Linked DNA regions of Styela clava. The main gene of each other region encodes a partner of the protein of the gene in region 2 in a complex. Links are inferred from orthologs where the notes say so. Each region holds a gene or a part of one and is shown on either strand. Other genes may lie near its edges.

The links.
Region 1: DNA primase large subunit-like (region 2) and DNA primase small subunit-like share a complex: the UniProt entries of both Drosophila melanogaster proteins name them as parts of the alpha DNA polymerase complex. The link is inferred for Styela clava from reciprocal best matches to the Drosophila melanogaster genes Prim2 and Prim1.

The regions. Positions count from the first base shown.
Region 1 is NC_135258.1:14,381,409-14,398,422, forward strand, and holds DNA primase small subunit-like, read left to right. Parts: upstream 1-10,045; 5' UTR 10,046-10,049; coding exon 10,050-11,357; 3' UTR 11,358-11,979; downstream 11,980-17,014. Other genes in the region: uncharacterized protein LOC120339549, read left to right, coding at 4,511-4,579, 4,654-4,890, 4,965-5,222, 5,629-6,633; thymidylate synthase-like, read left to right, coding at 8,471-9,478; large ribosomal subunit protein mL48-like, read left to right, coding at 11,988-12,131, 12,922-13,091, 13,447-13,651, 13,830-13,922; rho guanine nucleotide exchange factor 7-like, read right to left, coding at 13,968-14,064. UniProt on the Drosophila melanogaster protein: Catalytic subunit of the DNA primase complex and component of the DNA polymerase alpha complex (also known as the alpha DNA polymerase-primase complex) which play an essential role in the initiation of DNA synthesis.
Region 2 is NC_135261.1:19,108,807-19,125,826, forward strand, and holds DNA primase large subunit-like, read right to left. Parts: upstream 6,372-17,020; 5' UTR 6,300-6,371; coding exon 4,755-6,299; 3' UTR 3,981-4,754; downstream 1-3,980. UniProt on the Drosophila melanogaster protein: Regulatory subunit of the DNA primase complex and component of the DNA polymerase alpha complex (also known as the alpha DNA polymerase-primase complex) which play an essential role in the initiation of DNA synthesis.

The DNA.
Region 1 (17,014 bases), on a different chromosome or scaffold from region 2:
GTGCTCTTGTTTGTCTGTCTAACACTTGCCCTAACTTAGAACCTTTTTGCAATGGTTATCCACCTGTCTGACGTGTTGATCGTAAAACTAATATTCTCCATGGAAATGATGTATTTATATGAAACACAGGAACGTATGCCTGCACGCCGCATCGGATACGAGTGTAGACAGGCGCAAATGTTTGAGTTGTTGAGCTGACGTGTGGTTATAACGTCACACCAAGATGAAAATGTTTCCGTTGCCGGGTTACAAGATATGCAGGCTACCCATATGCAAACGTTGAGATGCCAACGTGATACAAGATAATCAAAGTTTAGACAGGGTCCCAATTTTGTCCACCTCGCCAAAATATGTGAGATCCTGCTTTAAGAAAACACAAGAGCGAAGCTTGATCAGACATTTGTATTTGCCTAATTCGGGTCATTGATAGGTTACTATTGGACCTACCCAGACAACAATGTTTCTCGGCTGGCTGGCAAACTCGATTCATCGTTATAGGTACGGATATGTATTGCTTATTAGAAGAATGGTTATTACATCCTTAGCTCCGAGTACAAAACAGACTTCGATGTAAAGAGAAATTGCCCTACGACCAACAAACAAACACACTGATCTAATCCTCACCTAGTGGTTACTGATGTTCATGCCGAAAATATTACTACGACTGCTGCTTTTGCAATGAAATCACATAACCTAGTATTGTATGTACAGAACATAGTGGACTGAATTTATGGATTGTTGATGAGGTGTCTCAAAAATGTCGCTTACAACACTATTGTAATTGACTCGTAGGCCTACTTGTCCCACACTTTTCCCAAACTTGTCTCACAATTATCCCAATTGTGTATAGGGGAGAGTGGGGCACGGTGGCCCATGGGGCACAGTGGTCCAATCCATCCACTAGCGACACCGGTGGTCGTACCGGGCACGTGACCAAACTGAAAAAAGTCACGGTCAAGCCTGTCCTCTAGGAAATTTATTTGCGCCGGTAGGTCGTATTGGAAAAAGTTAGGAGACTTTCGTTGTTTTTAGGGGGCCAAAGTAAAAATAAATTGCCGGAGTTTTTTTCTTCTAAACTGCAGCCCGCATGACTTTTGTCGCCCATATTGGCATGCCAGGTAGGTGCCCCACAGTGGCTTATGACGGGGTATAAGATAGATCGGCACTCTAGCCTACTTGTCGTGAGAGGATCAATTATCCCAAAATGGTGAGCTTGGGCACAGTGGGACATCAACCACGAGTACACACTGGGGCGTGTCCCACTGAACCCCTCCACAGCTCTGTAGGGTTTGAGGGACCTAGAGTAGCCTACCTTCTGTCCCCGCTCCTGCTTGCTAGTTGCAATGTTGGATTGTCTTCCTATTTCAGAGCAATCCTAATTGATTTAAATAAACAACTAGCAAAATGCCACGTAAAAGGAAAAGAAAAACCTCCATAGGACAGATCGATCCATTGGTTATGAAGAGAGCAGCGGAGCAGGTGATTCATGAAGACAAAAAACTGCGTACAACTGCAAGAGAAAATGCCATTCCCAAAACAACCCTATCAAGGTACGTCAAAAACTGAAGTTTATGTCAGAAAGTTCTGTGTCCGACTCAGCGCCCTCAGATAGCCTCGAGTATTTTCGTCCTAACTACACGGTAAGAAGAATATTTTCGGATGAGGAAGAAGGTGAGCTTTCGAGTTATCTGCTACAGGCATCCAGACACCACTACGGGCTTCGAAAAGACGAGGTTCGAGAGCTAGCGTATAAAATGGCAGTTAAAAATGGAACAAACATTCCGCGGTCATGGGTTGAGACCCTTGCAGGAAGCGACTGGCTGTACGGATTCATGCAGCGTCATCCTAAACTCTCTCTGCGCAAACCAGAAGCCACAAGTTTGTCGAGAGCTACCAGTTTCAACAGGAAAAATGTTGGCGAATTCTTTGATAACCTTGATTCCGTAATGAAGCGTAACAAGTTTGAGCCAAATTCCATATATAACATGGACGAAACCGGGTTAACTACCGTTCAAGTGCCGTCCAAGATCATTGCCGAAACAGGTATAAAGCAAGTGGGAAAGATTACTTCGGCCGAAAGGGGACTTCTTGTGACAATGATAGGATCAGTCAATGCACTAGGAAACTCCATACCTCCGTGCTTCATTTTTCCTAGAGTCAACTTCAGAGAACATATGCTGAGAGGTGCGCCACTTGGTGCAGCTGGGTTTGCAAACAAATCTGGTTGGATAAATTCAGAAATCTTTCTTTCATGGATGAAACATTTCGTAAAACATGCAAACTGCACACCTTCAACTCCCGCACTATTACTAATGGACAACTACAAGAGTCACATCACGATTGATTCTCTCAATTACGCAAAGGAAAATGGTCTGGTTCTCCTCACATTTCCACCCCACTGTAGTCACAAACTACAGCCTCTGGACAGGTCAGTATACGGGCCGCTGAAACATTACTACAATAACGCCGTTGATGCGTGGCTAACTCTTCCAGAACATGCAGGCAAAACTCTAACGATATACGATATCGCCGGAGTTGCTAAAACAGCATACATTCGCGCGTTCACGCCTGAAAATATTCCGTCGGGATTTCGGGTGTCTGGAATATTTCCGTTTGATCGAGATATATTTGGCGACCATGAGTTCTTGTCTTCCTTTGTTACAGATCGCCCAGAACCAAAAGAAGATGATAGCGAAGAGTGTCAGGCTGCGCCAAGCAACGCCGATGTAAGCTCTTTGCCTGGGACCTCCGGCACTACTGCACATTTCTCACCAGAAGATGTCAGACCGTTCAACAAAGCCTGTCCGCGAAGAAAAAAGTGTGGGAGAAAGAGCTCAAAGACGCTAGTTCTCACGGATACGCCGGTGAAAGAGGCTTTAACAGCTAAATTGACTAACTCACAATCCAAAATCAAAAGCTCTAAAAAGAACCCCAAGCAAAAGAAGGCTGCGCCACCTGCTGAAACGAGCAGTGATGAATCATCTGTCCCCTTGAATGACGATAGCGATCTGGAAAGTGAAGTTGATTCGCGTGTAGACGATAGTGTAGATCGAGTGGCAGCTGTGGGGGATTTTGCCATTATTAAATTCAGTAGAAGGCGTGGTGGAAACGCGTTGCATTACGTCGGTAAAATTCTTGACAAGGACGACGACGAGAAGGAATTTGAAGTTATATTTATGCAAAGAATCCCGTCGAAAGCAACAAATTCCGCTTTTGTTTTCCCCGAAGACGAAGAAAGCACATTCGGGCTGGATGAAGAAGATGTAGTCTGTCGCCTTGAAGCTCCAGTTAAAGTTGGCGGCACGGCAAGAGCTTCCAGACACTACCGATTTAATGAAGATCTCACACAATGGAATATCCAGTAGCTTTGAAGGACGAATAAGGGCTCGATATTTCAGCAAAATTTCTTTCCTGATGGTGTTTTGTTCTTTATAAATTATTTCCTCCTCAGTGTCCCACTGTGATCCAACCACCGTCCCACTGTATACCGACGTCGGGGCACAGTGGGACAAATTTTTTTTTTTAAAAAACCTGGCTCACAGGAAAAATATTCCCATTGAGCAAATTCTTTGGTAAGAAATAAAAAGTTCGTTTCTCTTACAATGTAGTCATATGATTTAGAAGTTGAAATAGCGTAGTAAATAGTTCGAAAATCGCCAAAGAAAAAATGAGGGCCACTGTGCCCCACTCTCCCCTATCCAACTTCATATGAATATTCCAACTTTCTGCCAGAGTATTATTATATCTATTCTAACACAGAACATAGCATGAATTCCACTTCCTATAGTCACTTCAACGATAACTCTACTGTGATGATGGACTCGTATCAAATCGCACGAAACTGATAGAGCAAGTAGCTACTGATCGCAGTTGATGGTGTTTTTCTTTGTGATATCACAAAGTAAAATTGCACGAATACTGAAAGTTTTATCACATAAATGATATTCAATAACAAAATCGTTTCTACTAACATACTTCCATATGTCCGAAGTACGCTGCATATCTCTTGCAGTAGAATGACCTATGCTTTCTCGGTCTGTGAATAATATCCATACGATACCAGGATACGATCACGCAAAATTGCTTTTGAACCATTGGGACGTAGTCACGTAACTTGCTCAAATTATAACTTATCACCTCAAACTCCACGCTGCAATTAACCGGTAAATTTTATCCGATAACATGTTTCTCTTGTACGAGTTTTTCTCGTGGCTCATTTTCGAACAAAAGTACAATTGAAAAATGCGAGTATTCACAAATCAAACTCTATCAAATACTGGTCGAAACCAACTTTAATACAAATGACGTCATCGAACATGATGCCATCGTATTGTCATCGCTTAATAAAAGTCCAGATAAAAACTCTGAAGTGGAACACCAGACAAAAAATTATCACGAGACAAGTACAACATGCTTGTGACGTCATAATACATCAAATACTTCGACAAAATGAAATCAACAAAAAAGATTATATTATTACCAAAACCCATATGTTTGACATCTATTGGCGATGGTATTTGAAAATATGATGAATATATGTACTGGACGATTTACAATCACCAGGGCAAGGTCGGAGAAGGTAAGTCTCTTACGACGACAGTAGGAAAGGAAGTATTTACGTAATTTTAGTGCACGTAATAATATTTGTTGCAGATTTCATTCTTCGTGTACCTATTGCACCTGCTTGCATGCGCCACTTTATGGGGCATCTTGTTGGTTTGGGGAATTCTCAATCAGCTAGTTGAATCCGGCGTGATTGATCAAGATGAATTTTACGGAATATTCAAAGATTTCAATGTCATCTTCCACCTATCAACTATTCGCATTGACGTCGGCGATGTTTCAGCAATCTTTCTCGTCGTTTTTGCAACTATGCTGGAGACAATTTCGGTAAGTATATAGACAATAATTTGCAACAAAATCTTAAAACCATCGATCACAATACTCTATTATTTGACACACAGGTATTCGGAATATGTGGGGCGATACGTGTTAACCGAAGACGAAGAATTCGTGATGATTCTCCAGACATATTCGTTGAGCCAAAAACTTCATTGTGTTCTATCATTTTTCTGAGAATTGTCATTGTGATTTGTCTTGCTTTGGGTGGAATGTCATTGGCTGTTAGCGATCCACTAATGAGTCACATGGTATCTGCGATGTCCTCTGTGATAACCGGAAGCATAGGATCAACAAATATAAAAGCGATGGATATTTACCAGGTCAGTCAATTATATATATTATCGGACACGAAATAGACTCATGGCCGTTTTGCCTAATAGTTGTTGTTTTTCTTGCTGAGGCTGTGTCTTATTTTTAGTGTTATGATAAATTGACATTCTTAGCAAGTAATAGACCTATCAAATTTTCATTGCTTGAAGACGAAAAGAGTCGCCAATGCTTCTGATTTAGCTTATGGATGGCGTTGAGAATTTAGTGTCTGGCGTGCGGCAAAGATGAATAGAAACATAGACGTCGCTCAGCGAAACTTTGGTCAAAGATTTATGTCATATTCCACCTTTTTTTGAATATTAGTGTCGGGTATCGGCATTATATGAAATGGCGGCTAATCTGTGCAACCCATAGCGGCTTCAGAGGTTAGAGCATAATTTTTTTTTATATATTCAGAGCGTGTTTCAGTGCTGTGGTGCCAAATCTCCAAAAGACTGGATTCAAGTCGATAAGGAAAACGGAATCGTCTACGATTGGATCCCCCAGTCATGCTGTATTAACTCTTCGGACTGCTCGATATCTCCAAGAAACGTAATTCTTGATGTTTCTTCTACTGCTATCTCAATGACTACGGCCAATCCTGGCATGGGCACCTCAATTCCGTTTTCCCTTGGAAACGATGCTACATTTGATTTTGTTCAAACCCAGATTTACGATAGGGGATGTGACACTGCTATTCAATCTTTCCTAACCTTACACAGTTTGTTGCTATTTGCATCAGCATTCATACTGATTTTATTGCACACATCCTGGGTTATTTGGCGCCGAAATGCTGGACTTCCGTACCTATGTTGTGAATTCAATCGTAGAAAAAATCGAGTTCTACCTATTCATCTCGAAGTTAACGGTAGTCCGACGAGTTCAAATGAAAGCCTATTTTTCTTGCAAAATAAGCTCATAAACAACATCAGCAGCAGTGAAAGCTTTCAACTCATTAATGTCCCAGAGAGTTCGGAGAGTAACCACATAGTTATGAAAAAGCCTGGACCACCGTCAATAACGCGAGTAGGACAGGATATAGCAATTTCTCCCTTAGAAAATCTTCGTTCATCTTTCACTAATAAGGATGAAACGAAATACAGGCCACGCACGTCGAGAGCAAGGCCAAAAACAGGCATTAGTCGATCTGCAGGAAACTTGCCACGTAATGTTTCAAGGATGCTTGAGGAAACTATGTCAGGACATCGACCGCCAACGCCTGCTAAATTGCCTCAACAAGTGATGGTAGTTCATGGTGATAATGAAGATGCTGACACTTTCGAACCTGCTCATTTCTCTGGGCCTGCTTCAAGCAAAGACACATGGGCAACGGCTGTCAATGTTGAAGTTCCCAACACCAAGCGACAAAATGACGACGACAAGCTTTCGATTTATAGCATTGACAGCCTCGAAGGATGGTAAACCATGCCTCATATCTTATATAGCGGGCGCTACCACGCGATGCGGTGCTGAATTTACTTGTTTTTATTTAATGATATTACTCGCATAATAAATAAAAAAATTCATTGGAAAAGCATATAATTTTACTTACAAAATGGGCAGGTTATAAGAAAAATAAATTTCCTTGATCGCTAAAAACCTGCATCATCAATTTCCATCCAGCACTCGTTTATCTAATAAGTGCTTAATTACTAAAGTTATCACTTCTTACTCCAACAGCGGTTGACCCGTTGTTTCTTTCGTGTAGATCAGAGGTGACGAACCTGCGGCCCACGAAGCATTCTGGCAATTCAGTGTATGTTTGGAGTAAAGTCACAAACCTCCATGAACTGTACAGAGAGAATGGGAGCGCAAGTGTTACCGTATTCATATTACTGGCAACAACACTATTTCCAACACATCTATTTTTTTGGATCATCGATACCTCTAACAATGGATCAAAATGACCATTGTCGTAGCATAGTTACGCTCTCTTATCGGCAAACGCATACGGTTTAATAGAGAAGGAGTAATCTCACTTTATGAAAATGCTCAATGAATAAAACAATGGTAGAAAGTACATGGTACAGTACATTAAAAATTGATTTTGCAATAATACGCAGGTAGTAAACTCAAACTTTCGTGTTAAAAATGCTGTGGTATTCGAAAGGGAATTTGGATCTGGAACATCCGAGCCGAGCGTTTATATTGCATTATATAATTGAATAACATCAGCTGTATTGATGCCGTTGTTCGTTTAGTAGATGAAAATCAACAGGTATCATACGGTAGTACGACTATAAATTGTGCGGCCCGCTCACTCAGCGGTGACTGATAAAGTGGCCCGCTACAGCAAATTGGTTCGTCACCCCTGGTGTAGATTCTCTTCTCCATCTGCCTTGCATATTTTCCTTCACTTTCATCTCACTTTTGGTTCTATTTCCATTTCATGTATGTAGGCTACTTTAAATACTAATACCACGTGTCACATATTCAGAATCCTATATTTATACAAACATGGCATATAATCATAATAATCTTGGCACATTTTTATCAAGTTCTAAAATCCAGATTGTTGAATTATAAAATATATACCTGTTTCGACGGGAACTTAGCAGTGACATATTCTATTTAAGAATGGCGCAGTTTGTTCTTTTCTCTTTTTTACTTTGATTAATCATCGTAAGGATGTCGCATAGCTTGTAATAGATTAGTATAGTATTTTCTGAAAGTGCGAGACTTTTTTAGAAGAAGTATACTATCCAGATGAGGCTGGGCCATTTCAAAAATAGCATTTTCGTAGGACATGGCGCGTGGCAAACCCCATACTTCAACGTTCGAGACGAATGTGAAGAATTGATTAAAATATTGAGCATTGAACGTTAGATCCTATTATGAAGAATATAAGGTATTCGTATTTCACAAATTGAATAATCGTCCATACACTAATCGGATAAATTAGATTTTCAACATTGCTTGTAAACAACGTTTTCGTAGTTTGGAGGAGAGGGATGAGATTTTTAATTATATTTGCTATACTGGTCTTATGACAAATGATGATTTTGAAAAAGCTAATCAGTTTATATTTAAAAAATTATGTAAAAACTCCCAATATAAGCAAAAATATCGCACTAGTAAGTTACGCCTAAATGTCAAATTGACGAAATAAAACAAACCAGTCGCCGGAGCGCGAACGTGATGTGAGTATGTGAAAGGGTAGTTTGAGTTTCTTCGCGCGCTTTTACAGTCTTAGGAATTAGGATTCTAGATTCGTCAGGTAATTCTGTGAATCAATAATCTTTTACGGTAGAACTGTAGTATGGAAAATCAGCCACCTGTTTCTTCGCAAATGATGCCCATGGAAGTAGCACCAGAAGAAATCCGCAAACATGGTACCGGTACGCCTCTCGCACAAATCAATCCAAATTGCCCTAGCAAATGTACAGAAACGACATCAGAAGAACAACACGGCGAGTATGAATACCTCAACTTATGCAGAAGGATATTGTCTAAGGGTAAAATAAAGGGAGATAGAACCGGCACAGGAACAATATCTTTGTTTGGTGCTCAAATGCGTTATGACTTGAGAGAAAGTTTCCCGTTGTTGACCACCAAACGTGTCTTTTGGAAAGGTGTTCTAGAAGAATTACTTTGGTTTATAAGAGGCAGCACCAATGGAAATGAATTATCTTCTAAAGGAGTTCGAATATGGGATGCCAACGGCTCTCGTGAGTTTCTCGATAAATTGGGATTTCATGATCGTGAAGTTGGAGATCTGGGACCTGTTTATGGGTTTCAATGGAGACATTTTGGCGCTGAATATGTTGACATGAACACTGATTATACTGGGAAAGGTGTTGATCAGCTTTCTCAAGTAATAGAAACAATTAAAAAGGATCCAGACAACAGGAGAATTATGATGTGTGCCTGGAATGTTACAGACATACCAAAAATGGCCTTGCCTCCATGTCATGCAATGTGCCAGTTTTATGTGTGTGATGGAGAACTATCATGCCAACTTTATCAGAGATCAGCAGATATGGGGCTTGGTGTGCCTTTCAATATCGCTAGCTATTCCCTTCTTACATACATGATCGCTCATATTACAGGCTTAAAACCTGGCGATTTCGTACACACAATAGGAGATGCTCATGTATACAGCAATCATGTTGAACCTCTCAATGAACAGTTAAAACGTGTACCTCGACCATTTCCACTTCTTAAAATAAAAAGACAAATATCAAATATTGATGATTTCAAATATGAAGATTTTGAGCTGGTAAACTATAAACCTCATGGCAAAATTGCAATGAAAATGGCTGTTTGACCAAGGCACACTTGCTAAAGAGTCTTAGACATACACGAGCTATTTGGTGTCAGCACGAACAAGATTATGAACATTTATTTACTATAAATATTTCAGAAACTGCTTACCTATTAAATAATGCAGATATCTGAATAGATTATTTGATAAGTATAGAATGGCCATCCACGATTTTCAGTTGTACACCAGGGTTTTATATTTGTACCATACAATTTTGTACAATACAAAAATGTGTAATCTAAATATGGTTAGATAATCTAAAAATTGACTTTTTAGTCTTGGTACAAAAAATAATACAATCATGTAACTAAATCATGGAAATGTTAAGAAGTGAAGCTGTAAACCAATCATACCAATTTAGGATGCAAAATAAGCACTTCTTCTGTTAGAGCTTTGTAGCCCAAACTTGAAAGTGTTTATTGTACATTCCAGATATACACATTCCTTGCCGCAAGTGGTTATTTATGTCATGTATAGTTTTTGTTGTTATTGTGTCTATTTATCAGTTTACAATTTGTATATTGTTCTTTTTTCAGTATAAAAACACCAAATTTGAATATTCTCTAAACTGGTTATGTCTGAAGAAAAGGAAATCGAAGTTAAAAAAGAAACAACAAATCAAGAGGAATTTGCTTATGACGCATCAAGTCTACCAAGCTTGCTTCCAATTTATTATAAACTCTTGTTTCCTTATGGGCCGTTCTATTCTTGGTTGAGTTACGGAGGTCTCAATAAAACTACATTTTCAAACCGGGAATTTTCGTTCACTTTACAGAATGATATTTATGTTCGATACCAATCTTTTACAAGTCAGCAAGAAATGGAGAAAGAAATCCAGAAAATGAAACCTCACAAAATTGACATTGGAGCCATATTTTCCCATCCACCAAAAGATCATAATAAATATCATAGCGGCATTTTTAAACCTCTAGAAAAAGAACTTGTGTTTGACATTGATATGACTGATTACGATGACGTTAGAAAATGTTGTCAAGGAGCTGATATTTGTACAAAATGTTGGCCTCTTATGACAATGGCTATTAAATTGATTGATAGAGCCCTGAGAGAGGATTTTGGATTCATGCATCGACTGTGGATATATTCTGGTAGACGTGGAGTCCATTGCTGGGTATGTGACGACAAAGTACGAAAATTGCCGAATAAAGCAAGATCTGCGATCGTGGACTACTTGAGTGTGATTCAAGGTGGTAATTTGGAGAAAAGAGTTAATCTTAAAGATCCAGTCCACCCGTTTTTAAGACATTGTATAACCACAATATCGAAGCAGCATTGGGAGGAATACCGACAGGCACAAGAAATTCTTGAAACCCCTTCAGACGTTGAAAAAGTACTAAAAATGGTTCCTGATGCTGAAATGAAGGAAAAATTGAAAACGGAATTTAATAACGATAATCGTACAACTGAAACTAGATGGGAAAGAATAAGAAAAGCCACTGCTGAAAGATATCAAGAAGACATGAAAAAATATCGTAAGCTTCGTTACACGCCACAAGAAATTATGCTAGAATTTTGTTATCCTCGTCTCGATGCCAACGTCAGCACAAGTATTAATCACTTGTTAAAGAGTCCTTTTTCTGTTCATCCTAAAACCGGACGTGTTTGTGTACCAATTGATATAGATAGCGTTGATGATTTCGACCCTTTTGCTGTCCCGACTATCAGCCAACTTTGCCACGAGTTAGACTCACAAAAAGCAGAAAAAACAGAAGACAATTCTGACGGTTCCACTAGAAAGATCCACCTTTATAAAACAACAAGTATCAAAAAACACGTCAAGATTTTTGAAGATTTCGTTAACAAATTATTAGCAGATAGCCGTAAGGAAAAACTTAATCAGAAAGATGCAACAATGGATTTTTGATTGTTTTTATATTGAAACTGATTATTCTCAATCATAATTTTTGTTAGCTAGCAAATTGTTAGCGGACAGTCGTAAGGAAATACCTAATCAGAAAGATTTATATGAACTTTAGATTGTTGTTCGCGTTGACACTGTTTATTCTCAATCATAACTTTTGGTATCTGGATTTGACATGTTGGTAAATTGTAAACAATGTGCTGCTGCAGGTTTTGTTAATATTGGTTTCATTTAGGAAAGAACACTAGGGCTCTAATCAACTTGATAGACCTAATTTTAGCACCCGAACCTCAGAAACACTGCCGATTGGTCATTAGGAAGATATAGTACTGACCATTCAATAACTCCGTGTGGCCTAAAGCATAAAAATTGACCCAGACAAAATAAGCCCCAACCCCTACAAAGCTTCTTGGTAGAATTTTCCCCGGAGACCACCAAAAAATAGAAGATCCCAATTACTTAGTTGTTTAATATTATTTAAAATATGTCAATTTAGCTATAAAATACATATTTTGTAACTCTTTCCACACAATATAGTAAAAATTGTCTATATCCCCATTGGGTGGTTGTCGTGTTTCTAATTGCATAACAATACTGTAAATAATTTTTCACTTTTTTCCTTAGATTTTAAATATGACTTCTAGAATTTCTTATACAATTTTACGTGGAATTTGTAGCAGAGGTTTATGTACAAGTGCTGCACGTCTTGGTTTTCTTCCACATGATCTTTTAAGAAGTGATATGCTCAGTTTGAGCGGCCTTGTCAAGCAAAAAAAGGTAAATTTGAAATGCCTATATACCTTACGCTAGGACAGCGCTGTCTGTGAAAATGCACAGTAGAGGGAAATCAAATTTTGAAAATGAATACTTGACGTATTGATTTCTATTATACGTTATTGACTCTGGAGAAAAATAATGATTTCAGCTCTACGGCGACATGTTATTAATAGGAATTGATTTACGTGTTCGAATCCCATTCAGGGATAGTTAAGTGCGATAGGATTCTTGGACTTCTCACCGCCGTAGGGTTATTCACGCTACCACTGGTCGGTTACGGCTTCCTCCACGATCAGGTCCATGCTTCCAAAAACAAACAACTGACTACTGATCAAATTGAAAAGCCTTTATCCAATCAATTTTGCAGCAAATTCTTGATATTATCTATTTAATACCATAACAATGGTGAATCAACTAAGAAGACACAAATTTATAAATAAAAAACTTGCCTGGGATGAACTAATTATATGATACTGCAGCAAGTGTAAAGATAACTATTCTAAGTGATCCGAGAGTCTTAATTTACACCAAAACAAATAATATAACAGAAATATATTTGTGTTGGTGTGGAGCAAGAATCTATGAATCACTTGGAATAGTTATAGACTTATAGTAAAAAAAAAAAGCTGAATAGCAATAATTTTGAACCAAGTCTATATTAAATTTTTTACCGAATTTTCCAAATACCCAAAATCTTGGACCATCGTTTACTAAAATAATGTTTTTGTAGGTCTTGAGAAACAAAAAAAATTTTGGACCATCTTTTATTAAAATAATCCTGTTTTTGTAGGTCTTGAGAAAGAAAAAACAGGAACAACTTGCTGCTGATGAGAGCAATGCTGCTTATTCTTACGGTCCCCTCAATGTTTCAGTTGAAGGTTATGATATGGTTGTTATAGAAAAATTTGCTCAAAACATCCATCGATTATTGCTGCAGGAAAAAGTTGACGTCAGAGAAGTGTGAGACAATGTTTTAAATGATTTATTGGCTTTTCATAAATGTATAAATTCATTTCCATGATCTTGAATAACAAAGTTTAAAGTAAAAAAAATCTCAAGATGACATTTGATAAAAATCTGTTTTGTGGTATTAACACTAAGTAAAGAATGGTCAAACAACAAAAATAATACATTCTCAGGTGTAGTTGCTTATTCTGAACATGTCATATTTTTTACATACCCGTATATTAACAAAGAGAGGTTATGATTCGAAAAGATTCAGGCCTCTCATAGAACTAAACCAAAACAGAAGGAATGTAATGCCCTTGAAGCTCGGCGTACTACAAGGCTACTCTGTAAGTTTAATTTTCTTCAGGTATGCATTACCGACCGAACATTTAGCAGTGAAGCAGGTTGGCCAAAAATTGACAAAAGAAGTGCAGCAAATGGACAGAGTTGCCGAGCTACCGGTACATGCCAGAGTTCTACAGATTCAAGGCCTGCAGTCTACCTTGGCACCTATTTTATTGCAAACGATTGCTTGCGATATTCCTCCAGGTGTCAAGCTTACGGTTAATAAGGTATAAATTTATATTTTCAAGTCTATTTGTCACAATTAAGGCAGTTATTGCTGGGAAAATAACGATAATTTAATCATGTAAATGCTTAGCAAGCGATTGGAAAACTTGTACTTTTTAATATATTAAACTGATAAATAAAAGCAAAAATGGCAAACACTATTTCACATTGTTTTTGCAGCACACTGAAGAAGATCGTCTGAAGAGATATAAACCAAATAAAGAGCTGGAAGCTGAAAAGCTTAATCTTTCTAAACTTCTGGCCGCACGTTAACATCAAATGAATACTCTTTTATTAAGTCTCATCTTGAGAAATGTGCTAAGAATTTGAGTTCAAATATCTTTCCTGCTCTGTTTTAACAGATGACGTTCGTCTCACAGATGATGATGTTGAGTCGCCTGTTGTTTTAGCAGCTCTGTAACATGAAATTTCTTGTTTAATAATAAATAATGTTGAGTCTAGCTTTTTCCTGATTCTTGGTCAGGTTGTGCAAAACAGTTTCATTATTATTATTGAATCATTTTCTATACAAACAAGTGAATTAGGATTATCTTCAATTACAAAATACAATGTAGTATGAGCATTGCTTACAGTTTGGTCAGAATAATCACCAGTTTTGTCTAGCAATAAATAATAAAACATGCAAAAAGCTTTGATTTCAGATCAAGGTTTCAACAAACTGTCGGCTTTAAGATCAATCCAAAGTAGTAAAACTGGAAACTGAATTATTGGTTTTAGTGCTTATGGAAACCCTTTTAGCTCTTTTGATGGGATAACTGCAAAACCTTAAGCATGATGGGTGTCTCTTTAACTATTAAAGCAATACAAATCTGCTACAATTTCAAATACTTTCTCTGGCAAGCAGGGCTGGGAGACATGACATTTAGCTGCGGCCCGGAGCTAGCAATAAATTGCCTAGCTAGCAATAATTTTTTATACCTTATTGAAATAGTAATTTCCAAAGAGTTTTGAAATTGGCACTCGTGTTTTATGGTGGTGGCCGTACAAAAAATACGTCTATGGAGGCAGTATCAATGTGATCAGCCCTGCATGCTAGCATTTATAATTGTACCTATTTTCCATATTGCCTTCTTTAGCTAGCGTATTACCCAATCAAGACAAGATTTCTATGTTTTGTTATATTGAGGATAAAGTTAAATGAATACAAGTCATAGCATTCAGTCCAAAGCAAAATTATACGGTGGTAAATAAAAGAAGGAACAAATCAAAAGAAGAAGATTGACAAAGGAACAGAAAAAACTGCAGTACTGGCTGTTACTGCATGGTAAAATAGCTATATGGCAAAATTAGATAAGTACTAAGAGCATTATTGAACATCATAACATAACATGGGAAACAGAATTGGAGTGCTAGCACAGATATCACCAATGTAGGCAAAATCACAATTACCCGCTAATTGACGAGCACACATAGTTGATTATGATTTCAATTCAGAACCTAATATTTCAATTCGGTCATCACATACAGATATCAAATTATTAATATCAACACAGTTGATGAAACAGAATTTGGAATGCTCGCACAGATACCACCCATGTAGGCAGAATCACATAACTCGCAATTAGCGCTAAATAAGAGCACACATGGTTAAATATGATTTCAATTCAGGACCTAATAATTCAATTTGATTGGCGTCGTCACACAAAAATATCAAATCATTATTATCAATACAGTGGAGCTGTGCTGTAAACTCTTCAAAATCAATACCCAATTAAATCACACCAGAAAGTGGAATCATCACAAATTGTGTTAGTGTGATCACAATCAATAAAGAGCCGAAACCATGACATTTTGTTGGAAATGTAGTTAGCAGGAGGAAAAAAATCGTTTTTCAAGCCTTTTTTTTATTTCACATACTTGGAAAACTTTGATTAATTTTAAATTTTGGGCCAATTGTTCAATGATACTGGTCAGAAAGTCAATCTCTATGGAGCTGTCCAAGCATCTCAGCCCTGCAAGTAAGACAATGCATGTGAAAAGTGGATTCAACTTTAACCCTAACCAACACAAGCTGAGTGAAACATGGTTAGGGTAAGAAATAATGTTTTGCTGAATTATCAGTATGTAATTATGAAAACCTATTGAAGCTTAACATAAATAGCAAACAATTAACAAAATTTTGCTGAAACTTAACTTAAAAGCATGCAAAAGAAGGTATACATCATACATGTGGCAAAATGAATGAACTAAAACAAGTTATGCATAATTCGTGAAATATAAGAAACACAAAATTAATATGAGCATGCTAAATGAAAATAAATATTTGGTCCACAAGAAATGTATGAACAAAATTTCAACTAAAAGTATCAACACATTCAAAAAGCCAAAGCTTGCAGGGAATTGTCATATTTTTGCAATCTTTTTTCTCATCCACACATTTCTTCACATCACAGGGTGACCCCGAAAACAGAACCCATAAATTTCTGTGCTACTTCTACAAAAATGAAGGAAATTTTTTGTTCCAAATTACTTCGATTCTGGGTCACCTTGTGCAAATTATTACAAATGCTCTGCAGGTATTGATGATAATCCAAAATTCATTTAATCATGTTTGCTATCATATAAACATTGCATTTTTGTCACTTGTAATTGTTATGAAAGCATGAAACCACCAAACTTTTCTCAATTGAAGATAATTAGCATTTAACAAATTAGCATGAAATAAGCTGAAAACAATTAGAAAAAATATGAATCAGGTTGATAGTCTACACTTTTATGCTTTTCAATCCGACGATTTCAAAAAAATTAATTCTACAATTTAAATCCTTCAAAATGATTTGAAATATACAGAACATTCTCAATATTTTGTTTAGTGTTCGTTAAATTCTCTCGAACTGGATGAGGAAGATAAAAATATTACAAGGCTATTTTCTCTGGATTGTGTGTAATAAGCAATGGACTCATGTGCAGATGATGTAAATTGGGGAAAGGCCTTAAACTGTTGCTATTAAAAAAATGATTTGGTGTATTACAGGGTGTCCCGAAAAAAATCCTATAAATTCGTTAATTACTCCATCGAAAATAACGAAAACTTATTCACCCCTTGAACTTATGATTGTATAGTGCTCTTCAACTGGGTATACCCAAGTGTATACCGGACCATAAGTAGGGTATACAACTGAGAAACGGTATACGAAAGGTGTACAGCAGGGGTCGGCAACCTTTTGTCGTTCCCGGGCAAAAATTAAAGGTTGCAAGTCATTGGCGGGCCGCACATATTTTTAGAATGTTAAAAATCGAATGGATGACCGATCACACAGATCAGAAGTTAAATTTTAAGCAGCGCGCAAAGACTGACCATTCGAATATTTTTTGCGCCTTTAAACCATTTGCACTTAGCATCA
Region 2 (17,020 bases):
TTACTTCGTCCAACTTGAATACTTTTATGAATGAACTGAATTCTATTGATATTGATGACTTCAGCAGCATCGAGGATCCCAACACTTGCTTTGAAATTTTTTTTGAAAAATTCTCCACTGCTTACTCTCAATCTTTTCCTTACAAAAAACAAACAGACAGATCAAACAAACCTTGGTATGATACTGAGTTACGCAAACTAAACAAAGTCAAACAAAAACTTTATAAGAAATTAATAAACAATAAAAACATAAATGACAAGCACAAATTACAGTTCAATGAATGCAGGAACCTTTATACTCGATTGCTCCACAAAAAGAAATCAAATTATTACAAATCTAAATTTGCTTCTCACAAAGGCAACATCAAGGCAGTGTGGAAAACAATTAATGAACTTATTGGTAAAAATAAAACAAATTCTTGTCCTTTGATTGGATTTGATTGCAGTAATACACAAACTGCAAATAAATTTAATGAACACTTTTCCCAAGTGGCACAAAGCCTGCTTGACTGTATGCCACAACCAGCTGGCTGTGACAAAAATTACATTTCATATCTTGGGAAGCAAGAATCCTCATCCATGTTCTTAAGGCCAGCTACATCATTAGAAATAAAAAATATTATACGCGATATGAAGCCCAAGTCAAGTTTTGGAATCGATGGTATTCCATTCAAAATATTGAAATATGTTCCAGAACATATTATTGATATCCTGACATATATATTTAATCTTTCACTATCTAGTGGATTATTCATTGAAAGCTTCAAGACATCCAAAGTTCTTCCTCTCTTTAAAAAGGGTAGTGTTTCAGATCTTGGAAACTATAGACCTATTAGTCTTTTACCATCATTTTCTAAGATTCTTGAAAAAATAATGTATAGTAGAATGTCAAACTACTTTGAAACTAACAATGTTTTCCACTCGCATCAATTTGGTTTCCGCAAGCATCACTCCACTGCTATGGCTGCTAATGTTTTGGTACACAAACTGACCAATGCGTTTGAATACAAACAACATGCAATTGGAATATTTCTTGATATCTCAAAAGCTTTTGACACCATTGACCATTCCATCCTCTTAAGTAAGCTCTATCACTATGGAATTAGAGGCGTTCCATTCAATTGGATCAAGAGCTACCTTCAAGACAGGAAGCAAATTGTGCAATATGACAATTCATTCTCTACAAATATTTGTGTCATGAAGCACGGAGTTCCACAAGGATCTTTACTTGGCCCATTATTTTTTCTAGCTTACATTAATGACATGTCCAGGTGTCTGAAATCCTCTGAGTCGATCATGTTTGCTGATGACACTAACTTGATTCTTCATGGGGAAAACCTTGAAGATCTATTCACAGTTGCAAACCAAGAACTAACCAACATTCGTAGCTGGATGTTAGTTAATAAATTATCTCTGAATGCTAACAAAACTAAATTTGTATTATTCCATCCAAGCAAGCATAAAAGTGTGAGTTGTTCAAAAAAACTACTGCTCAATGGCAATGAAATTGAAAGAGTGAAAGAAATAAAATTTCTAGGAGTTATCTTTGATGAAAATCTGTCATGGAAATCACAAATAATGCATGTTATTGGTAAAACAAAAAGAAACCTAGCAGTTTCTGCCAAAGTATCCCAGTGTGTTGATCAATCAGCTCTACTAGCAATGTTTCAATCATTACTACTTAGCCATATTCGATATTGTTGTTCAGTCTGGCTTCATGGTAATAAAACACTTGTCTCAAAACTGCAGAGTATTTGTAATAATTTTTTAAGAATAGTTTTTGGTAAAAGAAAACGTGAAAGTGTAGAATCTTACTTCAAATCACTAAATATACTTAAGGTTGAAGATATGATGAAATTTGAAATATTATCTCTAGCTCACGACTTCCATAATAATGCGCTGCCCAATTGCTTTAATGACATACTTGTCAAAAATACCTCCAATCGAAGAAGCAGTTCTGATTTATTCGTACCTTTCATGAGTAAATCCGTGAGTCAGCATTCCTTGTCTTTTACTGGACCCAAACTTTGGAATTCTCTTCCCTTAAATTTGAAGACCTTAAAGTCCAAAAAATCTTTTCAAAAACAAGTCAAGTCTCATTTAGTTTCCAAATATTAAAAATTACTACTGGTGGTATTCGATGACAAAAACTTGGGACACTCCACACTTGCACATTATTGTTTTAATGAAAATGTTGAACAGCTATAATAATATTGTTATATCTTGCCACGACTTGGCCAGAACTAGTCCAGCACCAAAGAAATGGTATTGTGACATGCTTGAGTATATATATATATTTTTTTAAATATATAGGTAGCTAACGTACCCGGATGATATTTTCTTTAAATAACTGCACACATTCTATCACTTCACGCTCGTGTTTTTATCTTTTTCTAGCTGTGATGTCCTTATCATACACGCTTGGTCTTATGTTTGAGTGGTGGTATAAGGGTTGTAGATAGTACAATATTGTTCCTGCAAGGTTACTAATTATTGCAACTAGGCGAGCAGTAGAGCTATGTTGGTTTCTCCCCTTCAGATTTTAATTTGCTGTGGGTCATTGTAATTGGATGTGGTTTTTATATCATTTATGTATGCATGCGTTTTATGTTAGGGCATGGTGTTTGAGTTGACTTGTTGGCCAAGGTATAGATAGTAAAATTTTGTGTGTTTTTTGCATGGTGTGATAAATTTCTCTCTGTCCCAAGCAGAATGTCATCATAGATCATCTATCCATCGCTATACAATGACAATACATCCCATTTAATTAAACAATTATTTTTTGCCTGTAATAAATAGTTCAGAGCGTTCCCCTTCACCTAATCATTGAAACATCTACTCGCAGTTTTATTTTTTGTTTTTCAGGTTACTTCAAAGTGATTAAATGAAGTAAAACACATAAGAAAAAAATCAAAAAAAGACTCCGATATCCTGTGAAATAACAACCTTATTCCTATATCCTTGTCTGAAATCAATACCCAAGAATGAAAAACCTCACTTACACCCTTTGTAACCAATTTATTTCCACATCCTACTTTACTTAATTATAGTAATTTTAGTGTTACCGGTAACTTTAATTACTTACTACAATCTGGACTATAATTTGGCAATAATAGGCTCTAATTTGGGGAATGAAATGGTCTCGCCCACCTCTTCATGCACCCAATTCTGGCAACTTTGGTTGGGCAACTTGGCATTTGACTCCAACTATAATCAGCTTGGCAATATGTTTTCAATAGAATCTTCCTTTTATATCTTAATCAACGATTAGAAGATCGATCAATTCGGCAATGGCAATCATTACAAAAATATCAATATGGTGTGGCAGAAAATTTTTTTTTTCTTTTCTTGTATTTATTTATTTATTTTTTTTTTTGTTTACTGTATAGTATACCCTAAATTTATTGCGTCTTATTCTTACTTAAATAAATTCTCAGTGGTTGCGTGTGTGGCTGGTGGGTGCATGTGAGCGTGTGTGAAATAACTTAATAATTTTAGGTGAGTAAACACGTACCACTTCCTCTTGGCAAAACCTTCCATCTTATATTTTGTACGTTATAAACCTTATCTAAGGTTTTGTTTGCTCCCCTGATTTCATAATCAGTTTTTATTTATTTGTTTTTATCTGTCAAATGTATTGTTATGCTGATTATGGAGTCGAAATAAACTTATACTTATTATACTTATAGAGCGTCGAAAATTCTGTATCCTACAAGTTCATGCGAGAGAACGAAAGCGCCAACAAGCGCAAAAAACGTTGGTTTTATTTTTTAGGGAAACGTACGTAATTCGATAAAATTAGCTATGATGGAATATGTTTATATCAGGTTGTATAAACTAGTAAAATGAATAACCTGTGGCATGTGTCACAAATCACTTCAAAGGCATAGCTGTCTCAGCGGTTAGCATCCATACTAATTGCACGACGAAATAAACTTATTGTCTATTGTTTGTCTAATGAAGCGTTCTCAAGACACATGATTTCTGACCAACTTGAAAGTTAGCATGCCATATTTAAACTGTTTGTCATATTTTTCAGCAATATAGTATTAGGTAAACTGCAAAAATACATCGCATTTTATCATTGAATATTCTTTTAAAGCAGGGGTAGGCAATTAACTTTTCTTGATGGGCAAGTTACAGATAATAGGCTTCAGTACTGAGCTGGAGGCTCAATATGTCCATATATATGAAAAAAACTATGAATGAAAAACCGTTTATTCACAACAGCTAGTCCAACAACTTTGCTAACGTTTTTATAATGAGCACAATTGAACGATCGGGGTCATTATGACGTGATTATCATCGATATTCTCAACAGAAACATATATTTATAAAGACTATAATCATAATTTCAGCAGACAAGTGGGTCAGATCTGGCCAACGGGCTGTAATTTGCCTACCCCTGTTTTAAAGGATGCAAATAAAGTTCCATTAGCACAAGCCACAATAACATGTGAATTTCTCATATACTCAACTTCAAACCTTCCCAATGTCTATAAACTACAGAGTCTAAACATCAGTGACAATAGAAAAAACAGTTGTTCTCCTTTAATCATATAAATTGTAATTTACATATTCCAGAATTGCAATCCTGGGCCATTCATGATCATGACTTGAACCTGTGGCTCACGGTTGGTCATACATTCACACCATAGTTTGCTGCACAAAATATGTTGAGAAATATAAAGTATGATTTAACATATTGATAAATAAACATCAATTAATATTGGCTGTAATATTATTTCCAGCAGTTTAAACATCAACTTCTGTCATTAGGGCATCCAATTCCATTTCTGATTCTTCAGTTTGAGATTCAGGAACTGGTTGTGACCACTTCGGAGTAAATTCTGCATTTCCTTGACTAGGTTTCAGCCCGGTGGTCTTTTTCTCACCTTTCAAGAGCATTTGACTTTCATCAAAGTATTGGTTTGGATGGTTAAGTTGAAAACCTGCTTCATCAACTTTGTGTGTCACCTCATAGTATTTTGTACAAGCAATTTGATAATGCTGGCTTTTCATTAGTTTAATGATCTCGTCAATTGAGTCTTTTGGTATTTTATAGTGATGGAGGCGTTGTTTTAAGAGTTCTGGAGATGAGTGTTTGAAAGGGCAACCGTGGTGTTCACCAGGTGCTGGTACATTTTTCATTATAATATTCATGCAACCATAAGGAGCATAATTTGTTCTTTTACCTTCACGACCAAACATATGTCGGAAATTATAGGAATACTCTTTGTTGAATTTTTCTTCCCCAACTCCTTTACTAAATTCAGCTTTCCAGAATTTAATTGATTCCTCAAGAGTAACACCTATGCCCTTTAAGAAAAGTCCATACTGCAAACGAGCCCAGTGCTTATGATGATGAGTCTCACGCAAAACTTGATGCAATTGCCGCATACATAATGGAAATGAGATTTTAGATAATTCATCAATTTGCTTGATAGATACTTTGCCAGCATTTTTGTTTGGATCGTATGCTTCAGCAAGAGTGTTTTTATTGAATCCCCTAAGTATAGGCAAGAGTCTATCATCCTCTTCTAACTCAGGTAGTGATCTTGAAGTCTGAGCTAAAGCTTTAGATAGGTGTTCACGAAAACGTGTGCTAATGATGGATATCAACTCTGACTGTGGAACATAGGCATAACCTGAGTTGATAAACACACGACGTGATGATACAAGATTCAAAACATCAGTGAAAGGAACTTTATAAAAGTTAGTTGACTGGACCTTAGACTGAGTCATATCGTAGGATATCAATTTTAGATGCGCAGAAAACTTTTCTTTTTCCTCCTCTGAGATTGGATAATAAGTCATATCATTCAACATTAAAAATTGTTTGATACTTGACGTTGATTCACAATTAAATCGATATTTGAATAAATCCACCTCTTTTTCCAAAAACCAACGACGAAGTTCATCGGAACGACAATACGCCAGTCTGAGAATAAAGTGGGAAATGTGATCCTTACGACGCCATTCTAAATTCCTTTCTTCTGTATCTTTCGATGGCTCAGATGTTAATGTAAACCCAACATAATTTTTTCTTAAATAGTCTCCAAGTTTTTGGCAGTAATCTGGACTATTTTTGACATAAGACACTCCTAATGAATCCAAATAGTGCAAAACTTTTACTCTATCATATGCAAATGATTCAAATTCTTGGAGGGTGATGTTGCACATTGGTGGTCTGTTATACATCATTAAACCGTGAGGGTAAAGGTCATCAGATAAGCCATCCGCCAATCGAAGTCGCTTTCTTCTAGAAGCAGATGGTTTGGGTGTTCCACCAAACTGCATTTTTTAGGTTTTGAAGAAACTGCTATTACAATAAATACAAAAACTGAAAAACAAGCAACCATTATGGCATTCAATTAACTTTAACTAAAATCCATTTGGGTTGGTATAGTTCATTATTGCCTTGCTCAATTAAGCAATTCACATTTTTAACTGGACTCACTCTGAATATTATGGATAAAATGTGCATAGGATAAGGGTCTATAACAGCAGTGGGCAAGGTTTTTGGACCTGGGCCATGTAAGTGTGACACAAAAGTTACATTTTATGAATAATATTTACAGTGTTACAAAAGCAAAAGTGGAAAACAATAAGCCTCGTCTCAAAACTAAATTTAAACGCAATCCAAACAAATTCTTTGATCTATTTTTTACCTTCAACATCAAACTTTGGTGTTAGTTCTGTAGTTTAGTTTAGCAGCATCAGGTGGGCCAGATTGTATTACCCAAACACAAAACGGCACACTATACAAATCGGGTAACATCCCGTCCCTCAATATTGGTAATAATACAGTATAACGAAGTTGCGCAAAATACTACAAAAAAGCGCAATCTAGTAACGTCAGCATTGAATTCTTTGGGAACAAATAATCCGATTTACCAAAGAAAAAATTTTTTTACCGAAGCATTCGAGAGTTTTTAGCAAAAAACGGCAATTTTGGTCATGTGACAGCCGCGATTAATTTAGATTATTATTGAGACAAGCATGGCGCGATATGAAACATCTGACGTAGTCCCAGACGCCCCTCGTTTGTGAGACACAGAGGTTTGTTTTATTGAGCCAAATGGAGGGAAATTCTTGGAATTTGGATAGTGTGCTGTACTGAAACAGCCGTATTTGGCTGGAATGGGTGGTGGCTGACTTTGATGACCTTTGGCCGTATCGCCATCTCCCAATCAAAACAAAAATAATAAACTCTCTCTCTTGTCCCATTGGGTTTACCAATGTTTGGTCTATAAGTTGGGTCTGGTATAGTTTAGTACCACATCGACTTCTAGTTGGCCTGGCTCAACAATTTTTGCATATGTCAATCCTAACCCCCACCTGACTACGTCACCGAAAAATTACGTCATTCCGACGTCACAGTGGCGTAATAAGGCCCATCGAAGTATGCGGATGGTCGTCCAAAACGCGCAGACGATAACCCGAAATCGAGCAAGCGATTTCTCTCGTTTTCTCGTCGCAACGATCACGATAGGAGAGAGATCGCCGGCTTTAGCAAGTTCTTATCGGCGGCGCAGATTCCATTTCGGGCGATCGTAATTATACTTTGGCAATCCCTATGACGTGATGGTGACGTAATGGATGGCATAGTCAGGTGAGAGTTAGGAATAACATATGCAAAAATCGTTATGCTACGCCCACTGGAAGTACTTGTGGTACTTAACTATACTAGACCCTATAATTTTACCGACAAACTCATTGTGTGCTATCAGACTATTGATGAAACATTAGTGAGATTATACAAAAACAGCATTATACAATAGTCAGTGTGGTAAAGCAGTAAAGTGAAATTTACTACAGTAAACTTCAACTCTCGGCAGCTCAGCCTCATTTATTAAAAATTGATAAGTTCCTGATACCTTAATTTCTGTAAATAGTGAATTCTTTACAGTTGAACCGTCACAGGGCAGTAGGATCTACAGGTCTATAGAAAAAATGACTTCATCTAGTCATCTGGACTCATGACTTCCATACACATAGGACAGTAGGACAAATAATCATTAGATTGGCATTTTTAAGAAATCGGGAAATGGATACACCTGAATAAACTATTCTAACTTAGGCTTTATATAATGCATAGACTATATCATGCATTTTAATAATTTCAGAGAAACTCTGTGTGTTGAAAATATTATGTCTGTACGGTACAGGCGCGGCGGTGTGGCTCAACGGGCTAAGCGTTAGGAATACGCTCGCCACCGCACCTCTAATTACTCTGCGTGGGTTCGCAGGTTCGAATCCCATGCAGGGATGGTTATGTGCGAGAGGATTGCTGGACTGCTCGCCGTCGTTGGGTGGTTCACGTAACCGCTGGTCGGTTACGGCTTCCTCCACCACCAAGTAATTACTGAAATACATACAGACATTAGAGATGGGTTTTCGCACCATTTAGTTCGCACATTACAATAATTACACATTATAATAAATAAGATACAGTACCGGTACCGTACCTAACTCTTATCACAAATTCTTGAATTCTGCGTCACTGCTGTGACTTCATATTAGTGAGAATCTTTCCCGCGCAAACTATGGTTGTTGTTTACCTGACCCTTAACCCAAGAAAAAATCTGTAGATATTTCTCGCTCTGTTTTATAAGTTTATTTTGATTTCGGCGATACATAACATGCCTAAAAAACATACACAAAACAATGAAGAAGATTGGGAAAACTGGCAAAAACCTCTAGAAAGGGATGAAACATGTGGAAATACATATGCCAGTTCAAACATATTACACAAACAAACATATAAATAAGGATAAAAACACGAACGTTCATCTTTCTGGCTAGGGTTGGGATTTAGGGACTAGTTTTTGAAATCATGGTATCGGGATACCCCGGGATTGAGCCGTAAAATCCCGGGATTTTTTCGGGATTGAGTAAAAGATTGAAACAAGTTGCATCACAATAAAATCACATATTTATTTCATGTAATATCGACGCAGAAATATTAAAGCATCTAGGGTGTTATCGTTCATACGACTTCTTATTTTGTTTGCGAAAAATCCAAGGGCAGAAAACGCTCTTTCTGCCTCGACGGACGTGGGTTTAATTGTTTTTAGGGCAGCGTACAACTTTTCAAGGTTTTCAGGTCTCTTTTTGCTTGTTTCATACAGTACCATCTCTTTTTGAATTACACTAGAGCTCAGGTTGCCAGGTCGCCTGTCTTCTACTTCGTCATCTTCCACAAAACTGTGGATTACTCTGCTAAAGTCATTTTCTTTTCTTCGTCAAGAATTTCACTGTCAACATCAATATGCACAATGTAGCCCGCATTGTAAGCCTCTTGAGGAAATAATCTCTGCAAGATGCCCATGGCCAGAGCAGCAATTCTGGGCCGCTTTACTCTGTGCCCAAATTGATCCTGAACTTGATCAAGATAAGACGGACTTTTTAAATATTTCAATAGATGGACCAACTCAGCATTCCGCCGTTCTTCAATTCGTGCTTTGAACCGGTCTTTTAATGCCTGGCTGATTCCAGTTTTCTGATCACCAAGCTTCTTTAAAGTAAATGCAATTACTTTTTCTGCTAAAAGAATGTCTGCATCTTCACTGGAGAGTGTAACGCAACTTTTATGGGAGCAAGAGCATCACACAGTCCCTCGATAATTTTCATGTCATTTTCAGATAAGTCAAAATCAATATCCAGTCGAACTAGAGCCAATTTTACCTCTTTTCGTAGCTGATAGAATCTCTCTAGCATTGAGAGCAAACTGTTCCATCGGGTTTTGTAGTCGAGCAGTAGTGTAATTTCCTTTCCAAAAGACTTCAAGACAAATGGTTGAAGAGCATCATCATTTTTCACAGGCGACCTTCTGAATATTTTCACGATGTTTCTGACTTTCTTGATCAATGTGTCAAGGTTGGGAGATAAAGTTAAAGAAAATCCGAAATCCTCGCGTTGTTCTGAGTCGTTGTCATCTTCGTCTGAACTGTCACTGTGACAGTCAAGTTCATCAGAGCATACTGCGACCGGTTGCCTTTTGTATAACACGTCACAAACGGCCAAATGAATCGCGTGAGCAAAGCAGATCACATGGAGTGGACCCGTCTCTTTTCCAAATTTTACCATCAAACTAGCACCATCAGTGATTGTGGAAACAATAGCTGTATTCAGGTCGAGACCAAAGGAGTTTAGTCGATTACCAACTAAGTCGATTGCTTTTTGTGTGTCCATGCTGCCGTGGATGCGAATCAATCCCAGCGAATGAAAGCCACCTTGAAAATGACAATTAATGTTCATGTAACGACGATTTCTTGCGGATGTTGTAACATCAAATGTTATGGAAAAACGACCATTATTCAGTTTGGTTGCACAAAACTCTTCCTTGACTAATTTCTTGACGGTTTCAAAGTTTTCCATCACCAGACTACGAACACGTTTGTGTGATTTGGGCAGCGTATAACCATCAGTTTTGAACGCTTGATGTAGCCTCTCACTTTTGGCAATTTGATTAAATGTAAGACCATCCACTGCAGTTAACTGACCAACTAGCACCTCAATGTTGACTTTTTTGACTTGAAGAACGACTCAATTTTTCTGATCTTGGGATTTGGCTGATCCTCCATGCTCGTGCGAGACTTCACTTCAATCTCGTGCTTTGACTTCAAATGAACTATAAGTCCCTTCGTGTTCGACCCAGACGCTTTTAAAATTGTTTGGCACAATTTACACTTCGCTTTTTCTGTATCTTTGCAAAATAAAAAGTTTCTCCAGACTTCTGACTTTCTTTTAGCACTGACTTCTTCAAAGTTTGACATTTTTATTTTCAGTTTCCCAATCAACTCTGATTACGACCGTTTTTGCTTCGACTGTAACTCCAGACTTTACCTCCACACTGCAAACTTGTTGTATCTTGTCTGCATTCTGTACTGATTGTAACGTCAGACTGTGGTCTGTTCCAAACTTCATACTGAGGATTGTAAATCCCGGGATTTTTAGGAAATAATTGCGGGATCGGGACTGAAAAAAACAGTCCGAATCCCGGGATTTCCCGGGGTCCCAACCCTATTTCTGGCATCCAACTCGATGAACACACTGCAAAAAAATAGAAACTAGCAAATTACAATTAAAACAAATTCTGAAAATTACAACTGAAAACTACATATGGAGCAAAGTTATTGGATTACCAATTACAGCCTTAATAAGATCCACATGATTCTTTTAGAGTAGGCTTAAATTCAGATCAATATAAGTTATTGAAAATTTCACTCACAATAAACAAAAGTGTGCAGTATTTTTTCTCCTTGTTTTCTGACATAATTTTTTTTTTATTTGTGATTATTCATCTTGGGGTCATTGCCCATCATTTCTACATGACTGTGGATTTTGCAGCCTTGAGCAATTTTTTTTACGGCTTGATATTTGTATTAGTGTATTTCGTCAAATCTGTGCACCCTAATGGCGCACAACCTGAACCCTAACCTGTTACAATACTATGTTCAGGCTGTGCGCCATTCTGGTGCACAAACTACGGAAGCACCAAATTTACTAGGAAATAAAATCAATACCTTTTAGGTATTTGTTGAACCCAGCTTTGGGTCGCGAGTCGCGACCCATGTATATGGAAATACTGTTGAAACATATGCGTAAAAGAAAGAGTACTATTTCAAAATGCCCGCTATTGTTGCAATTAACAATACAAGCCTGCTAATGCAGTCGGCAGTGTTTTAAGTGGATATACACACGTTGGAGAACAGTCAATTATTTGTTAGTAAAAATTGTTATGCAGCGGGATGATAACGACGATCCGATAACCGATCAGGGGCCTCCAAGGAGGCCGTGGTCCCCTTGAAACTCTATCATAAACTAAAAGAGGCGACCGTGCTTCTCTTGTCTGTTGCCATGCTGTTCCTCGAATTCAGCTACAACAAAAAATTCACGAAAACGGGTTTTAGATTTTATGATTTAATTATTATTCTCGACAATGAATGATATACGGGTGGTAAATGCCAGGTTATTCCAACAGCATGATCATGTTTTGCAACTTACAACCAGTATTTTGTATGTAACTTTGTTTGACAGAGCCCCAAGAGGTCTAACTACAAATATCAAAAATGTGAGGCCAAAAAATTACACTACAACAAATCAAACACTTGTCAAATGTGCTGTTTTTACAATAGATAACAAGTTTACCAAAAAGCATTACATGAAAAATGGTAAAATAAAGATCAATTTAGCAATATATATCTACTTAGGACTTGGTGATATGCATCTGTTCATGATTTTATGTGTTTGTTTCGGAAGTTTAATGACAGAGTTAATTGCGGTTGCTGGGGATGTTTTAAAAAAAGATTGAATGGAAAAAAGTTTTCACAAAATGTCAAGGAGTGAGAGTAGTAGAGAAGTAGGAAAAATACTCTGTTATACCATGTTTTCTTCATTTAATAACCACGCGACAGACTTCTTCGATAATATACGCCGCAATTGCGAGAGGCAGAAATGCCAAGATGGGATTTCCTCGGTGACCGTACATTTGAACCCATGTACATTTGAACCCATGCGTATATCCACGGGTTCAATCTACATGCGGGTGCTAAAACCCATGGGTTAGGGTTAGTATGGGTTTAACTATCCGTGAAACAAAAAAAATTCCATAGGTGCAATAGCATACAGGTGCAATTGTCATGGGTTCAAATGTACGTGGGTTCAAATGTAATGGAACCGATTTCATCGCATTGCAAACCAATATTAGCGATTCTTAGATTTATTCGCGCATTCCCATCTGAACAGCGTGGAAAAGTTTATACCTATCTACACACTTGAAAAACTATGTCAGAAGAGCGTCATATTATCGAATATCAGTGAAGGAATAGTGCAATGGGAAAACACATATAGGGCGTAACTTTCAGTAATATGCAATCAAATGATATTATTGTAGAATATATATTTGAAAACATTTCGTCACGCCAACCGCAGTCCGAAACTTTTCGTCTCTGGCTGAGCTTAGATACCAATTGGCACACATGTAAACTGGTAAGAGGCACGCGATGGAACAGATAATATGAGTATTCATTCCTCAGCTGTCATTTGAGTGGGTACTGCTGTTTTTATTGCAGATGATACTAATCTTTTTGTATTTTAAAGATTTACTGGCATCACCGATTTAAGGATGTCAAGTGTTGGATATAAATAAATGCATAAATGGTTTGAATGAATGAAAAGCTGAAACTAGTATTCTTTAGAACAGCATACAAATTCTATGGAATGAAATCATACACAAAAGCTTGTCAAAAACCTATAGCCCAATAACAGGTGGAATTTGATGCATGTGTGAAATGTGTGTGATGTACTAGTGATCAAACTGTTCGACTCAACTATGTTGGCATAACAGGTGCACATCTCGGTTTCGCACACATACCTTCTATCTCCACTAGGATATATTAATTTGGCCAAAGTCAATGCTGCACCTGAAAGGTTCCGGTTCTTCCAAAAGAAAACGCGTTACACATCGTTAGATACCAGTGGATGGTTTTACATGGCCTTGTTCGGAGTGAAAGACGAGTTCAAATATTCCAATCCATTTCAACTAATAAAATATTTCCCAAGTCCCTGAGCTTAAAGCAGGAAAACGAAATGCAGCGGCAACACAAATGTAGTTTGAAGAGCGCAAAAGAAAGGGGCTAGCTAGATGCTGTCGATGGATCTTGGCTTATATTAGTGAATTAAACTACCATTTATTCTACTAAAATTGAATTTCTGACATCGTAAGAAAATTCAATGTTACTATGTATTCGAAACTAACCCATGTGGTTATGAAATAATTGTTTTTAACAAAAAGATGCTCCCGAAGTATTTGTACCAAGATGGCGCACAACCTGAACATTGTATGTGTACCAGGTTAGGGTTCAGGATGTGCGTCATCTTGGTACGAATACTTAAAATCCACTTAGAAAAATTGCTCAACATTATATACTCCACACCTATCTGGGTATCATTATTTATGTCATCGACATTATATCTAAACAATAAAAAAAAACTTTACGTCCCAAAACAATGTTAAGGCCCGATTCTGCCGGACTAACAAACTTGGCAAACGCTAGACCAGCGTTTCCCAACCTTTTTTGGTCGCGGACTATTTTCTCACCGGCGAAAACCTTTGCGGTCTCAAGGTGCGTTTATTGCAACCGTACTCTGTGCGAAGAAGCAATAAAACCAAACACAACAGAATTTTAACGAATTTCAAAATCGGAAATTCGCCGCAATTACGCGATCGTTAAAATAGCCGACTTTTTTAGTGTATAATGGCCTTTATTGTCGCACAATATTCAATACATGATAACGACGAGAATTTCAAATGATTTCCATTTTAATTTAAAAGTGTTCAACTCGCGGTGGTGTCAACTTACGACAAGATGAAAGCATCTGCTATACATTTCCAGAAAGTACAGCTTGATTTAGTATTTATTAAAAATATATTCAAATGATATTAGTAAATCAAAAATACATATTCATCGTCTTGCTTGTTATTAATTTAATTGTGATCATTTAAATCTGAGGTTGTTATAAGAAATAAAAGCAATACTACTCAGAAAATAATCACAATCCGTAGACGCAAAAATGCGTGGTAAAGTGCCCGATTATATTTTCTTCTGATTCATATTTTAGTGAATTCGACAAATCTGAGCTGTTCGTACAACACTCAGGGCGCTCTAGTACTGTACGTACCAATGTGGAGGTAGTAAAGAAAATAATCTTATGGCAAAATGCCCTGGTTCGTACAGTACGTAGCACCCGAAAGTTTGTGATTTGCATGTCTAAAAACCCGTTTTAATCGGTCGCGGGCATTCATAAAACAAAACTTATGGTGTTCTCGTTTTATTATTAGTATTTTGTATTGCCACTTTTCAATTCAGAAAATTTGGGTTACCACCATTGACACCCACCACAGAAAAATATTTATTCTTCGTTGTTCGAATTCGCGAGAAACAACACTTAGGTATCTATCGACACATGTGTCGTCGGAAATCCGCAAGTGAGTTGTGAAATTCAATCGTTTGATTAGGCGACGCGCAAGTGACCCGTCGCGTCACCTGTTACTAAAGATTCGAATAGTAAATTGCTATTCTAATAGTTGAATATTTAAATATACGCCTAGCCCTACTCAGTAACCAGTAATTATTGACTCGATTAATGTTATGAACTTGCTTTTTGTAAATTCTAACGTAAATCGTAACTTGGCTGATAAGTAATTTCTGGCACGTGCGGACTCATTCAAACGCTCCGCGGACTCATTTGAGACCGCGGACTCTGGTTGGGAAACACTGCGCTAGACATACGTTGCGCATTAGTTCAAACGCATACGTTGTGTTTTATTTATGACAAGTCGTCAATGTTGTATGAATACATTTTAAACTAAGTACACCCTAGATGTATTATACACCCGGCTGACAAGCACTTAGAACAGGCCTGCTCAACCTTTTTCGTCTCGCGGGCCACTTTGTACCAAACATTAATACCAGATAAGTCCTGATTTTGGTGTAGGTATTTACATAATACATAAAAGGCGAGTTTATTAATATGAAATCAATCAAATTAATAATTGCTTTCTGGTTACTGGGTAGGGCTGGCAAATTATTCGAATATTAGAATAGCGGTTTACTATTCAAAAACCTGGTAAACGGGGCGTGGACATAACACTCTCGGGCGAACGAATCAAAGAATCAATCATTACACAACACACTTGCGGTTTTTTGGCTACCACGCAAGAAACACACACATCACGTCAAAGTTAAGTGTTATATTTGCGTTATAGTGTTTTTATTCATTCATTTTCAGTAGCTACGATACTGCTTTAATGTTCAAATAAGCATAATGTGCGTCAATGTCGCGGCAATATCAAGTTTTAGTGGACCGTTTCGTAAAATTTGAAACACCAATACAAGTATTCGATGAAGTAACATAACGGAGATTTCTGAACGAATAGTCGATATATATATCCTGATTTGTGAGACAACGAGTCCGGGGACCAGTACCCAAGATATTGTTGACTTTTTATTTTACGCTGGCGATAAAGACGATCAAAGCCGACACGAAAGAAAGCAATCAGAATGAAATCAATTTGCAAACTTAGGCTCCAAGTTCATTCCTATATTTGAGCTCAGCGTTTGTCTCCAATGATCGCACAATATCTTTATAGTTCATCGAACAGAGTGCACAGTTTTGCGAGAAATAAAAAAAATGACGTTGATGTCCACCAGCGTGCAAGACTTGACACATACGTAATAACCGGCATTTGAACGTAGATAGATGGCAGGAATATTTACACCAAAATCACGAAAGATACTTATGTATATATAGTAAAATGTATGTAAAAGTTTAAAAAGTCTGCTTACAAACATTATAGGGCGGGCCGCAAAAAACACTTCGGCGGGCCGCGGGTTGGGCAGCCTTGACTTAGAATACCTCTGTGAATAGGATCGACATAAATAGCTGCTAATAACACAGGTTTATCAAGGAAACATATTTCTCTGCGTAACAAATCTTGAAAAGTATATTTCGACTGATTCTTAATTTATCATCGTCAAATTTTCATAATTATCAATCTTGTTACTTTAATTATTTTTCAGGTTTATTGGGTCCTTAGATAGTGATATTTTTTTTGAATAAACGCCATGGGAGATAAATTTGCGATGACGCAATCATTTTTGAAGAATTGTACATTATAAAGATGATTTATATCTGAGAAGTCAGTTAACGGTTAAAATAAACCGTAACCGTTAACCATCTAAAATCGGTTAACCGATTAACCATTCCCAGCCCTAGTGAACATGCTTTTTTTTTTAAACTATCACGAATAGCAATCTGAAGCGTGTGTGCCGCACACGCACGTGCTCAATTGTATGAACAGCTGTTATGCTGTTTACAGCACTACCTAACGCTTCATCTGATTCACCTTCATTCCATATATTTTCATCTAACTCATCTTTAGGGTAAACCTCGTCCACATTTACATCTTCCTTAAGTTTCTATTGTTTTGGTCATGTTATTGTCATTATCTG